Drosophila melanogaster: one gene and its partners. The protein of the gene in region 2 interacts with the protein of the main gene of each other region in a biochemical or structural test. Each region holds a gene or a part of one and is shown on either strand. Other genes may lie near its edges. The genes, in order: ru, grk and rho-4.

Region 1 (4,623 bases), on a different chromosome or scaffold from region 2:
ATTTGTTTGATTTTTGTTGTAGCCTCTTTTGTTATTTTTGTGATTTTTTATTTTTGCTTTGCGCAATATTTTCACCTTGTTTTTTGTGTGTATTATTTTTGGCTTTTATGATTTTTTCTTTGTTTTCGTTTCATTTTCTTCATTTTTTTTTGTGCAATTAAACACGTTGAAGAAAATATAAAAAAATAAATGGGCAAGAGTGAAAATGAGCGAGGAAAAAAATATACAAAACACGAAAAAAATGACAGCTTAAAAAATTGTCTTTTTAGCCCATGCAATTTTTATGGGCAAATGTTTATCCTGTGTTTTCTATTTTACGACTGCGCGTAATGGAATTGAATTGAAAGTGTTTTCTTTGGTCGCGCTGGAAAAACATTTGCGGCACAAGATATTAATTATAAGCTTTTTAGTCGTTGCTAGTATTTAGTGCTAACTTTTAAACCAAAGCATTTGGTGCCTTTTTAATTTATTATCGAGCTACCTTCTTCATATTAACTATCTAGTAATGTGGAAGAAACTTTAATCTTAGTTTTAGTTATTTTATAGTAACTAGCTTGCATTTAATTCAAATTGCAAACAGCACCCCTATATTATATTAACAGTTATCCTCTTGGCACCCTTAATTTCATAAAAAAAGGGGGTCCATAGACCCTATTCAACTGCCACCTTATTCATCTTGAAGTCAATTCAAATCCAATCTGCGCGATTCGAGGTGGTATTCGCAGGGCGAGCGAGCGAGATAGCTGCTGTGTGGGAGTGAGAGGGGGCTAGGGCGGTACAAAGGGTCGGGCAGCGCCCTCATCAGCTGTCAGCGGCAGCAGAATGAGGCCCATTTGATGAAGATGTTTCTGCAATTGTTAAGTGTATCTGGGCCCTTTCGATGTTTGCTGTTTGCTATTTGCTATTTGAGCTGGGAAATGGAAGGAGGCCACAACACATCAAAATTATACTCGATATGTTAACAAGTTCAGATACAAAAGAGATGACTGGTCCCAAGAGATGCCAGAGATAGCCCACATAAATAAGTATCTCGTGGCTGGTGGTAGCTCGTATCTCGTGTCTTGTATCTTGTATCTCGTGTCTTGTATCTGATGGATGCACCTATTGACACCCAATAAACAAGGCGAAAACAGCAGCTGCGACCGAAGTGCTTTGATTTATTTATCAGGGGCAAGAAATCAACGTTGGGTGTTTTTTTTATCAAATCTATCTAATTATACATAAACTTTTACTTTTTTACAGTACCAAGATCAGTTTGCAAACGAAAAAACATTGGCCAGATATAATTTGAGGCATAAGCCTCGCTTTTTTTGTTTCCCCCAATTGTTTCACATTTGGTAATGCAATAATTGAGTTAATTAGCCAAAAAGGGAAAACACTGTTTCACAAATGGATTAAGGGGACAAAGATGCTAACTTAATAAGTGACTTGTTAATTATCCGTCGGCGGCTGCATCTGCAACTGTCTCCCTCTCGCTCTCCGTCTCTCCACTTTCTCTGTCGCACCTGCAGCTGCCGGTAAAAGCCAGCTGGCTCCTGGCTATCCCTCTCCCTTTCACTCGTTCGCCCCATCTCACTTCCTCACGTGACTCCTTTGCGTGTACCGTTCACCGGATGGTGGCCAAAAAAAGCAAAAAGCCACGACAAAGGAAAACTTGGCAACGCGTTCGAACCTCGAACATGTTTGCTGCACCTGGCTTTATTGTTCAAAAGGGTGGCTTAAAAGGGGGAGGCGGTTTGCAGGGGGGGGGGGGGGTTTCTTACCTTGGCCAGCAAGAGCCGGCTTTTCGAAAGGGGTGCAAAATGGAAAAAAAGCACACACACACAAACACACGCACAACTAACACAGCGGACTGTGCACATGTAAACCCTCCGGTAAGGAGGCTCTACCCCTTTCGGTTTTTGGCCAGGCCGGCACTTTGCGAATCTATAAAAGTATCGGGCCGCATAAAAAACGAGCTCAGTTGTGAACGGTACTTTGTAACGGCAACCGGCGGCAGCACGCGCAACTAACGGTTCACTGGAAAAGTAGAGAAAAACCACCGAGGAAAAACTTAGTGGAAAAGCACCGAACATTCGTACCGTTCGTAGCATTTACTGCTCGGATCGACTGCCGCAGTAACTTGTCGCTCATCCTCGAAAGAAATAAAAAATAGAAGCTGCAACCAGTTCACATAATCCTGCCCCCCCCGGATGGCCTGCACAAGAGTCAACCATTTCATCACCCCCCTCGGTAAGTCATAACACCCCCCGCCTAGGATTCCCACTCTCAATCCCCCATCTATTCCATATCTCACCCACGGAGATCCCGGCAAAACCCCCCAAAAAAATAAATCCATCGGCTTAAAACTTGGCAAAACTCAGCTCCAAACTCAACCATGCTGAGCTGAACGTATTTGACTAGAGCGAGCACTGCAAAAAATAAAGGTGTACTTCATGGTGCGAAAAATTATCGCACTGAATATATAATATTCTCTTTTACTGCCGTTAATATCCATCCTCTATTTATAACAGAAACCAATCTTATTAGTTAGCCATCGCAGTTTTTGTTTTCAGTGCATGTAAATCTGCATCTGTCAGTGCGGCAGCAGCTTCAGCATCAGTATCTCTGTCTGCTTTGTATCTTTTGGGTTGTAAAAACATCTGTGCTTGTCGTTCGGCATCCGTATTTGCTGCCGTTTGCAACGGGCCAACTGCAATGCTACCAACCACTCCCACCCACCCAGCCAGCCACCAGTCGCACATTGCGTATACGCAACGTGGAGCGCGGATTTAACTAAAAACCGTTTGCGCCCGAGCTGTCAGCAAATGGCAAGCACTTTCCGTTGAAATCTCCCCCGGGTCACCCGGTTTTTATATATATATGTATGTGTGGGCTGCCCTGCTCCATTTTCGATATCTTTTGTGGGATCTCGGACAAGTGCTACTTCTGGCCAACTTCTGGCCAGAACTTCTTGGCCAGCTAGCTACTGGTTGGTTGGCTATTCGATTTCCATTGTCTCTTTTCGAATGGAAACCCATGTGCGTGTAGGCAGGAGTGGCCAACGATCGATGGAGAGGGTCTGTCTGTGCGTGTGGGCGGTCCTCGGAGCTCCCAGTTTGGCCATCCATCTTGCCACCAAACCCACCAAGTTCGTGTGTCTCCAGGGCGAGAAGACGCCACATTTGGCTCACTTTTGTTTACACTTTGATTTATTTACGCAGCCTCGAAAAGTATTTCATTCAATCGCAACGATGCGAATTTTATTCACTTTCCGAAATTTTTCTATTCTCGTGAAACTTTTGCTAAACATAAAAGTGCCAAAGTCTCGAAATCGAAATGGAAATCAAAACCAAGATCCGTTTCAGATGCACAAATCATGGACAAAATGACAGGGGAGTTGGGGCTGCCTTGGGCTTTTGTCACTGGTGAAGTTTTTGTCGAGTGCATGAAAATACGAAAAAATTAATGCGTTGGCTATTCTTGAAAAAATCATACGCAATGCATTTTAATTTTTCGTGTCTCTTGTTCGTTTTTTGTTTGTAAATATATAGTTTTTAAATGTGTCAAGTTTGCTTTTATACGCGTCAGAGTGAGAGAGGCAACGCCGAAAATAAAAACAATATAGCGAAACAAACAAAAAAAAAAAATGAAAAAAAGTCGAAAAAAGACCCAAAGACCTGATTTCAGGGTGGCTTAGTTTTGTTTACCCATTTTCGGGCCACTTTTCTTTTACTAACGTGTGCAGAAGTGAAAAAGTTTTAAAGATATATGGTAAAAAAAAGTTTCCCAAGTCATATTTGTATCAAAGGAAAGCTGTGAATTAAAATTACTATCCAAGTTGTAAGACTTTAATTACCATTTGCTTCCGTTTGCTGAACTAAATTTGGCCAAAACTTCTGACTGCTATTAAATTCAGCAACTGATTTGTGTCGTTCTCCCCCATTTTCCAGCGCAGAAGTCAACAGTTTATAGTGTTTAATCATTCTTAAGCTGTCTCCACCTCCGCACCACCCCTTCACCCCTTCACCCCTTCACCGCTCTTCCCTTTTGGATCACCTTTGACCTTCATTAGTGTCAGACCCTCTCGCATTCGCATTAATCTAGGCAGACATTTCAAGTTGAGCTGTTGCAAGACAATGGCTCAAGCAGTTTTGTAGTTTGTCTTGTCGGCCAAGGTGCACACGCACACACTCCAGATACAGATACAGATACATTGATGGTATCTTTGAGATACTCACTCGCACAAACGCATACAAAATAGAGCTCATAAATCAGTGCAGAAGCGAAATAGTGTGTAAAAAATTGTTGTGCAACTAGGCTTTTCTGAACCAAAAATGTTAACAAATATTTTCAACTTTTAAGCTAATCAATTTAACTTTCAAATAACAAGTATATATGCTGCTAGTTAGTGCTTCAGAAATTGAATAAATTCCGTAAGAAATTGCCGGATTATGCAACCATTCGAAGTTGCACCCCCGCCAGCCCCCACTGCCCACCGACCAGCCACGCCCCCGCCACGCTGAGGCGCCCCAAAGTCTCAAAGCGACACAAACAAAGAACTCGAGTGGCGTGTGTGTGTGTGTGTGTTGCACAAAACCGACGCGAAACGAAAAGTCCGAAAAAACAACACACAGTCGGCTG
Region 2 (4,623 bases):
AAGGCAAAGATCTACCTGAACCACTTGAAAAATACATTAAAAAGGTAAGTAATTCCCATAAGCACGTACGGAGTGATTCAATCTCTTCTTCGCAATTCTAGGTGCGCTTCCACCTCCATCCGTCATACCGCCCAAACGACATCGTGGACGTGCACAGGTCTCCGTTTCAGCTTAACCGACATGGTTGGGGCGAGTTTCCGATGCGCATCCAGCTATTTTTCCAAGAGCACTTGCAGCAGAAACCCGTGCAACTAATGCACACGGTGGTGCTGGATAAAACAATGTGTGGACTGCACACGATGGGCGCAGAGACCACTGTGGAAATATGGCTGAGAGCAAAACAGGCGATAACGAAACAGAAAAGCGGCAAACCTCATCCTCCCCATGAACAGGAGACTGCAGTTCCTGCTCCACCTCTGGCTGCTCCGAATGTTTTAGAGCCTTCGGTTTTCGCCTTTCCTGGAGAGTCATGCAAACCGCGCACCATTTCAATCACTCAAAATAAGGAGGAACTTGATGACAATCTGTTTGCTGGTATCAACAAAATTGAACTCAGCGACGACATTGAGAAAATTGAACCAACTGTGTTGGTTTCAGAGCCCCTGAAGTTAAACTACAGTCCAAGAAAGCAGCCACCCACTCCGTCATCGCCTCCTAGGACTCAACTTCGGTTAAATGCGGCTCAGGTCACCGCTTCGAAGCCTTCTGTGGTCTATCTGCCAGTAAACGGCCGAAGTCCTAGGCAGGAATCCTTGCCAGAAAGGCAGCGGCAGGAGTTTTCGCCAGTAAAGCACTATCCACCGGCATCTCCGCAGAGAGCGTGGAAGGAATCCTCGTCGGATCGGCCACCAATAAAGCCTGTGCCCAATGGCCATCACCAGGGCAAGAAGAATGTTGTGTTTCAGAGAGCAGGAAAGCTGTACATTATCGATCCCTTGCAGCGCAAGCTTAAGCAGGCTGCAAAGCAACAATCCCTGCTGAAACCACAATTGAGTCTTCTTAAGCCACCGTCAGAAACGCGATGGCATATGCTGCAGTGCATGCAGCACGATCATGGGTACGCCAACATGAGCGGCGAGATGGAGGAAAAGCCAATGCTGTTACCTCCAATTGTGGACACTACCATACAATCGCGACCCCGAAGGCTGGAGCACATCTTTAGAAGTGCACAATTCCGAAATATGCGCAGTGCTGTGGAGTTCCTGCTGAGCCGCCTCCCGCTTGCGTCGATTGATCAGCAAAAGGAGTATCCATTCACTTGTATAACCCTCGAAGAGTTCCACAATCACACTGCTCTAAAACAACGTTGCTTTGAGTACCTGCGCGCACGTATGCTCCGTCGCTGTCTGATGCAGCACCACGAGCTGCATAAGTTGGACATTAGTGGAAAGGAACACTACTGGAGTTTACGGGAGATAGTGGCGTTCGCCAGGGTTCATGGTTATACGCCAGCTCTCAAAGATGTTTTACCTGTCGTGCATGAAAAGAGAAAACAAAAACTGAGCGATGAGGAGCAACTGGCTCGGCGTGTTCAGGCGCAACTAAAGGGCGAGCCCCAACCGCAACTGTCGGCCTATAGCAGTCTCAGCTCAGGCAATCGGCTGGAAGCTTGGATAACCAAGCAATCCGATCGTCTGCTTGGTCATGATCAACAGATGCGGGATAAGGAGTTCATCGATGTGTTGGGTGTGGACAAACCTCATCCGCTTGCGTCCAGGTTAACAAACTCAGCAGATGTATCTTTCCAAATGGTGAATCATCGCCAACTACTTTATCTACCTCCGCCGAAGCACTTGGATTCGACCTTGCAGCTGGTCCAGGAAATGTGCAAGGACATTAATATCACACTGGAACCGGAGGAATCTCCGCCTGGCGTCTCCCAGCCACTGGCTCTCTCGATGCTCGGACAAGTGCTGCGCACTTTTATTGAGAAATTGGTGCGCCGCTCCTTGGCGGCGAAACTGCAACAGGAGACTTTGGAACAGTTGCCACCGGCGGCGGCCAATGCTCCGTTGTGTCTCCAACCTCAGGACATAGGCCGTGTCATCAGTCTGTGTTCCGAATTGGATTTCCTCGGAAACAGTCACTTGGGAGTTGCTCCGATAGAACCACAAATCTAATGTGCAGTTGCCATTGTTTTGAATTTATTTTTTATCAAGTCCGCGTCATAGTTCAAATTCTACTGGGATATTAGTTGATATCTAATTAGAGCCTTGTACTCGTTGGTAAGCATAAATCTAAGCAATAAATTAACTAAATTAATGTCCGAAGAAATGAATACTGCGTTTTTAATTATCAACGATTATCATATTTTGGACGAAATCATGAGATGAGTGGTCATTAATTTTTAAATTTTGAATATCTGGCTGAAGACTTTTAAATTGTTTTATCAATATAAATAATAATCGCTACAATTGCATATTTGTACGAAACATGTAAACATTTTTAAGTCTTATCAGCTATCTTCACAGAGTAATATATCTTTATAGTGCCCTAGAAGTATGCAGTGAAAAGTGCCGTTAACAAATTGAATAACTGTTAAAGGGCGGTTTTTTTTTGCAGCTCTTAGCATATCCATATGATTCTTCGACTATTATCGGTCGCAATCGCATCTCTTTTGGGGGCGCTCTCTTCGCTCTCCCCGCTCACCGATCGATTTCATTCATGGCGCATGCCAATGCCGCCAATGTAGGGATGAGGTCCATCTGTTTCTCTGGCTCTGTTTTCCTCAGTCTCTTTTCCGACGTGCGCGCAACAAGACCTAAAATCAAAGTGGAGCAGAGAAGAGCCCGCTTCCCGCGCTTGCTGCTCTTTAGATTAACTAATTAATTACTTGCCTGATATATAAAATGATTCACGAGTCATTATAATAATTATAATGTCGAAGCCTTCTACAGGCCATATAGCAGCTCCAGTACGTCTAAGATAATCTATGAAAAGCTTTTGGATCACCAATTTTGAATGCTATTTCTTTTCCTTTTTTTTTTGTTTCGTGTGTGTGCGTTCGTGCGACAGAAAATGTGGAGGCGCTAAAATGTTCTATTTTTATTTTGCAGTAAAATCCACAAGGAGATGCAAGTGTGTAGTATGTTTCAGCTTCTGTTGCGACGCCAAATTGCATTTGCGGCCAGCACGCCGCTCGATCCCTCGATCGTTTAGACCCCTTCATTGACTCAGTTTTCCTAGTGGTGGACAATCGGTCCACCCAATCAATATTTTTCGGAGCGCCACCCCAAGCGTTTTCCAATGATGCAAATCCCATTTACTCGGATTTTCAAAGTAATTTTCGTGCTCTCAACAATTGTCGCCGTCACAGGTACGTACATAATCTCCACCTGATTTTTAGATTCCAATATTACGGCCAGTATTGCCAGGCTCTCCCACAAAAAAAGCTATTTCTAGCGTCGAAAAAACTGGAAAACAGCTACAACAAATCATAAAATATTTGCAGTGCTGATTATATACTTGTTATGCTAAAAAACTAAAACTTCCTTGAAAACTGTGTAAAATCCTGTATTAGCTTTCTGTTCGTGGATGATGAATGAAGTAAACTTCAGATAATATACATATTTGTGAATTATTTCTAAAGATTTTTTTGAGTTTCATTTAAATACTGTCCTTATGAACAAACTTTGCATTCTTAAAAATTAAAAAAATTAGTAATAATAATACCATAGGGAGACATTTTTATGATAATTTCAAAAGTTGCCGCACTAAAAACTGAAAGCTTTTTGTACTTCAACTTGAGCTTTACAACGTTATCTATTCTGTATCTTTGCGATCACTGGAAATGTCCTGTTTTCTTAATCGCACACCTTCTTCTGTATTCTGCAGATTGTTGTTCGAGCCGAATCTTACTTCTCCGAGAGCATACGCTGAAAATTGTGCAGCATCAGCACAGCCACATGCACGAGCATGCGCACGAGCTGCAGCAGCAGATCCAGGAGACCGCGGTTGAGTTGCTCAATCGCCTGGAGCTGCAGCGCAAGCAACTGGAGGCCTCGGCCCAGGAGGAGGCAGACCAGCTGCATCCCGATACGGATCCCAATCCGGACTCGGGCGGCCAACTGCCAAACGCAGACGACTCCATTGCTGCGGATCCGGAACAGGATGGGATAATTCTCGGATCCAGTACCGACACCTGGTTGGCCAGCGAAAGCAGCACACCAATCACTGATTCCGAGACAGTGACAACACCCGAAACTGTTACCCACACCGGAGAACCGCCACCTGACCCCAGTTCGTCCAGCACGCCTGACTCCACGACTCCCAGCCCGAACGACAAGGAGACAGAGATTCAGATGCTGCCCTGCAGCGAAGCTTACAATACTAGCTTTTGCCTGAACGGCGGCCACTGCTTCCAGCATCCGATGGTGAACAACACAGTCTTCCATTCCTGCCTCTGCGTTAACGACTACGATGGAGAGCGGTGCGCCTACAAGAGCTGGAATGGTAGGTACTCTACTCTAGCATAGCCATCCATTCACAGAAGTCTCTTCCTGTGTTGTATGGAACGGATGGAACTAACGATATCTATTAGTCTGTACCCAGTACATGGTAACTAAATGAACTCATTGATCATTGCAGGTGACTACATCTATTCGCCTCCAACAGCGCAGCGGA
Region 3 (4,623 bases), on a different chromosome or scaffold from region 2:
ATTCTGGGTAGAGGGCCACTTGTGCTGCTCCGGCAGCTGGTCACACTGTACAGTCGCGCAGTTTGGTTTCTTTGGTGCGAGAAGACGGTTGGTGTTGTTATTTTTTTTTTAGTTCGCTCCGCTGTTTTTAGGTGCTACGCGCTTTATGGCCCGCTCTTAATCTTATCGCAAATCAAATCAAACCGCGGCCAATGAGCACCGTAATTTCACTTTTTGGCTAACGGTAACGGCACTTCCGCTCTCCGAATTCGATATTCAAACAGTCGCATTCCATCGAAAAGCGAAACAAGAAGTGGCCGTAAAAATGACCGTGAAAACAGTGAATCGCCAGCAGAGCCAAACGCCCACCCAGCAACGGCAATTGCATCAGCAGCGGGACGTCGAGAATGGGCTCTATCCCACGATTTCGGACGGAATATGCCACATTATTATCGGATAGAATACAGGAAATGTAGGATTTAGGTAAGGGAATAATAAATTTCTAGTAGTTTTCAAGTCATTTTGGAGAGCACATAGTGGTTAATTCATGCACCATATTAATGCATGGGAAATTGGCGAAAAACAAACACTCAGCCGGCACTTCGCGGCACTCACACCTACACAATCATACGTGCGTGTGAATGAAGTTGCTTGTGCTTGTGGTGGTCTGCCCTGTTGCCGTCTTCTTCTCACCCTCGGTGAAAGTTGAGTTCAATGAATCATCTGAGCATCGATCCGCTATGGCGGCGATCTTCACTCTTCGCACTCACTCAACAGGGGGATTCTATCTACGAATCCATCAGTTTCGGCCGCTTCGATTCTAGTTTAGTTAGCACTCTCTTCTGGTTGATTTGGGCAGATTCATATATATATATGTATATAGGTATGTATGATCATACGATTAGCATACGAGATAAGCTGCCAATCCAATCCAAACACAAGGCGCTGGAAATCGGCATTCCATACACATTCCTACTCTCTTTTGGCTGGAAATCTTATCCGATTTCCCTCGCTTCAAACATCAAAATACTCTGTTTGGGTTTCCCGAGCGTTGATTCATTAATCTAGCCATGATATAACAACCAAAATAATATCAAGCTATAGAATATATTTTTTAAAGAAAAAAAATCAGTCTGCGGGCATCCAGTTCTCAGCGAGAACTTAGCGGCATCCAGCTAATGGAGGAGACAGTAGTGGCTTCGCCACAGCAGCCATGCCTTCGTCGTTCCGTACGTCTAGCGGGTAGGATGCGTTCGCAGAACTATAGAGCCATTCCCAAGGTTATGAATTTGCGGCGCAGCACGCGGCTGGCGGGAATCCGGGAACATGCCACCTCCGTTGTTGTGGAAAACGGGACGCGCCTTCAAAGTGCAGTCCAAAAGAAACGCACGCGAAAAGTGAAACCTGCGCCCAAGGCCTGGATGGCCAATAATACTAAATGTTTACTGGGCCATCTTAACAATGGAAACGTTAAGCAATTGCAGGAGATTCCAGGGATCGGTTCAAAGACCGCCTCTATTTTGGCCGTGCACAGGTCAGTTGACATACGTTCATTTGCGTTTTACCCAATAACCCTTAATCCTTAATCCACATTTTTCAGATCCCGCCTGGGTTGCTTCAAGAATCTAATTGAAGTCAAATCCCTGCCCATTTGGTCGGGAAATAAATGGAAACGATTTTCTCAAATTAACTGTCTTGACACTTGATACAATTACTAATTAAATAGCATTTTAATTCGAATATAGTATAGTGATTGTTATTTATGTGGCATATACTTTGATTTTACAACTATAGTAGGAGTAAAAAAAAAGGAGCCGGATATCCTTAAAGAAACAGTTATATATGTGATTTATTTTTTAAATAGGCTTACCTAGGATATATTATATAATATATTAAATTAACAAAACAAGTTGGCATTTTAAATTAAAGCACAAATTGATTGTTATAAAAGTATTAAACAAAAAAAACTAGTCAAAAAAGAAAAACTTTCAAATAAATGACTTATTAAAAGTGACCAAATAAATAATATTCATTAACTTTTTTTTTCAAATTTAACTCCCTTTCAGCGTTGCCAGATTGGGTTGCATGCGGGATTTGATTATTTTTATGCACAAATTCTGGGTAGAGAGCCACTTGTGCTGCTCCGGCAGCTGGTCACACTGTACAGTCGCGCAGTTTGGTTTCTTTGGTGCGAGAAGACGGTTGGTGTTGTTATTTTTTTTTTTAGTTCGCTCCGCTGTTTTTAGGTGCTACGCGCTTTATGGCCCGCTCTTAATCTTATCGCAAATCAAATCAAACCGCGGCCAATGAGCACCGTAATTTCACTTTTTGGCTAACGGTAACGGCACTTCCGCTCTCCGAATTCGATATTCAAACAGTCGCATTCCATCGAAAAGCGAAACAAGAAGTGGCCGCAAAAATGCCCGTGAAAACAGTGAATCGCCAGCAGAGCCAAACGCCCGCCCAACAACTGCAATTGCAGCAGCAGCGGGACGTCGAGAATGGGCTCTATCCCACGATTCCGGCCGAGCGACGATCGCCCCCCTCGCGTCCGCAAACGCTGCGACAGGACACCATCGATATGGAGGAAATACCGCTCAATCAGACGAACAGCCAGGAGCCAGAGGATCGGCGCAAAATGCACGAGATATTTGACAAGGTATGTAGGACTTATAATACTCGCAATTCCCTTCCCCAGCACAAGTGGCAGCTCCTCCTAAGTATTAGATCTTTTCTGGTTTGTAGAGCCAGCTAACCAAGTAGTAGCCATGGTAACTATACCTATAAAGGTATTACTGTTCACACGGTGTTACAACTTAGCACTATATCTTTAAAGTAAATCTATGATGATTTAACGTTGATTTAATAGTTATGCCACATTATTATCGGATAGAATACAGGAAATGTAGGATTTAGGTAAGGGAATAATAAATTTCTATTAGTTTTCAAGTCATTTTGGAGAGCACATAGTGGTTAATTCATTAGTTAGAACCAGCTACGACTAATTATCCCATTTAAACTGGCTGGTGGTAGGCAACAGAAGGTTAATGCTGAGATCTTGTGAAATTGCACCATATTAATGCATGGGAAATTCGCGAAAAACAGAAGAACGACTGTAATTAAAACACACAGCCGGCACTTCGCGGCACTCACACACACACACTCATACGTGCGTGTGAATGAAGTTGCTTGTGCTTGTGTGGTCGGCCCTGTTGCCGTCTTCTTCTCACCCTCGGTGAAAGTTGAGTTCGATGAATCATCTGAGCATCGATCCGCTATGGCGGCGCTCTTCACTCTTCGCACTCTCCCAAGAAAACCCCACCTTTAACCCTTCAATGGGCCGGCGGGCGAAAACCGACACGATCAGATGCTTTTGTTTGCAAACATGCCAGTGGAACAAACTTAAGGTATACATTATTAAAAAAAAACCTTGTATCTTGTGGTGATTAATAAATACGTGAGATTTGATTCCCGTTTAACATTAATGGGTTAAGAATTCGATTATAGTGCCTAAATAATCAACTGCTATATGTACTTATATCATACAAGCATAATTACACTTTTCGGTGTATTTAACCCATCACCGCTTGTCTGTCAGTCAATTTTGCACTTTCGCAGAATTCCGTATCACATTTTATAAGCTTTTTTTCGCTGCAGTTTGTTTTCTTAAAGTAGAAAAATCGTGTGTGCTGCAAAAAAAAATGGGGGGGAGGGTGGTTGCCTACTGTTGGGGGACTGAGTTTTCTTATCGTGACAGAGGGTTGGGGGAAAAAGACCAGCAAAAAAAGAAGAAGAAAAACCGGTTATAAATTATTGTTTGTTCGCTTTGAGTTCTGCCTTTGTTGTTGTTGTTGCTCTTGCTTTATTCTTGGTGGCGTTAGTCACTTAACCCCCAACTGACACCCACCGCCCACCTGTTTGCCCGAGTGTTACCATTATCAATTTAACAATTTGTGGATTTCGTCTTTTTTAATTCTACCAGTGCGATTGCCTCAACGTGCAACGTCCTCTTGATTCACCATTTGTTTATAGCCATATAGAGTGTGTAGCGTTCATATCGCGTTCAATGTACCCCGGCAACAAGGGGATTCTATCTACGAATCCATCAGTTTTGGCCGCTTCGATTCCAGTTTAGTTAGCACTCTCTCCTGGTTGATTTGGACAGATACGTATATATGTATGTATATAGGTATTCTAACCATACGATTAGCATACAAGATGAGCTGCCAATCCAATCCAAACACATTCGATGCCGCTGGAAATCGGCATTCCAGACACATTCCTATTCTCTTTTGGCTGGAAATCTTATCTGAATTCCCTCGCTACAAACATTCAAGTGGCCAAAATACTCTGCTTGGGTTTTCCGAGCGTTGATTCAATAATCTAGCCATGATATAACAACCAAAATAATAGCAAGCTATAGAACATATTTTGTCAAAAAAAAAAAAATCACCAATCTCAACCAACATTATTCGTTGGAAAGTTCAACTTGAACCCGGAGGGGACTGTATCATTTTGATATTTTTGAAATATCATGTTTGATATGTCACAGATAACAGTCTTTCTGATATGGGAAAATAGCAGATAGATGACCATTTTCGTTGATATTTTTATTCATTGAGCTGTGCAAAAGAGTAAATCTTA

Evidence for each region.
Region 1: of the proteins of grk (region 2) and ru, one has a biochemical effect on the other in vitro, tested with the Drosophila melanogaster proteins (one study listed by BioGRID).
Region 3: of the proteins of grk (region 2) and rho-4, one has a biochemical effect on the other in vitro, tested with the Drosophila melanogaster proteins (one study listed by BioGRID).

What each region holds. Positions count from the first base shown.
Region 1 is NT_037436.4:1,368,649-1,373,271, forward strand, and holds the start of ru (roughoid), read left to right. Parts: upstream 1-1,979; 5' UTR 1,980-2,232; intron 2,233-4,623.
Region 2 is NT_033779.5:8,431,706-8,436,328, reverse strand, and holds the start of grk (gurken), read left to right. Parts: upstream 1-2,730; 5' UTR 2,731-2,914; intron 2,915-3,056; 5' UTR 3,057-3,246; coding exon 3,247-3,316; intron 3,317-3,834; coding exon 3,835-4,452; intron 4,453-4,587; coding exon 4,588-4,623. Other genes in the region: D12, read left to right, coding at 1-44, 102-2,120. UniProt on the Drosophila melanogaster protein: Critical for defining the anterior-posterior and dorsal-ventral axes of the egg. May signal directly to dorsal follicle cells through the receptor torpedo (top).
Region 3 is NC_004354.4:11,597,689-11,602,311, forward strand, and holds the start of rho-4 (rhomboid-4), read left to right. Parts: upstream 1-2,149; 5' UTR 2,150-2,398; coding exon 2,399-2,638; intron 2,639-4,623.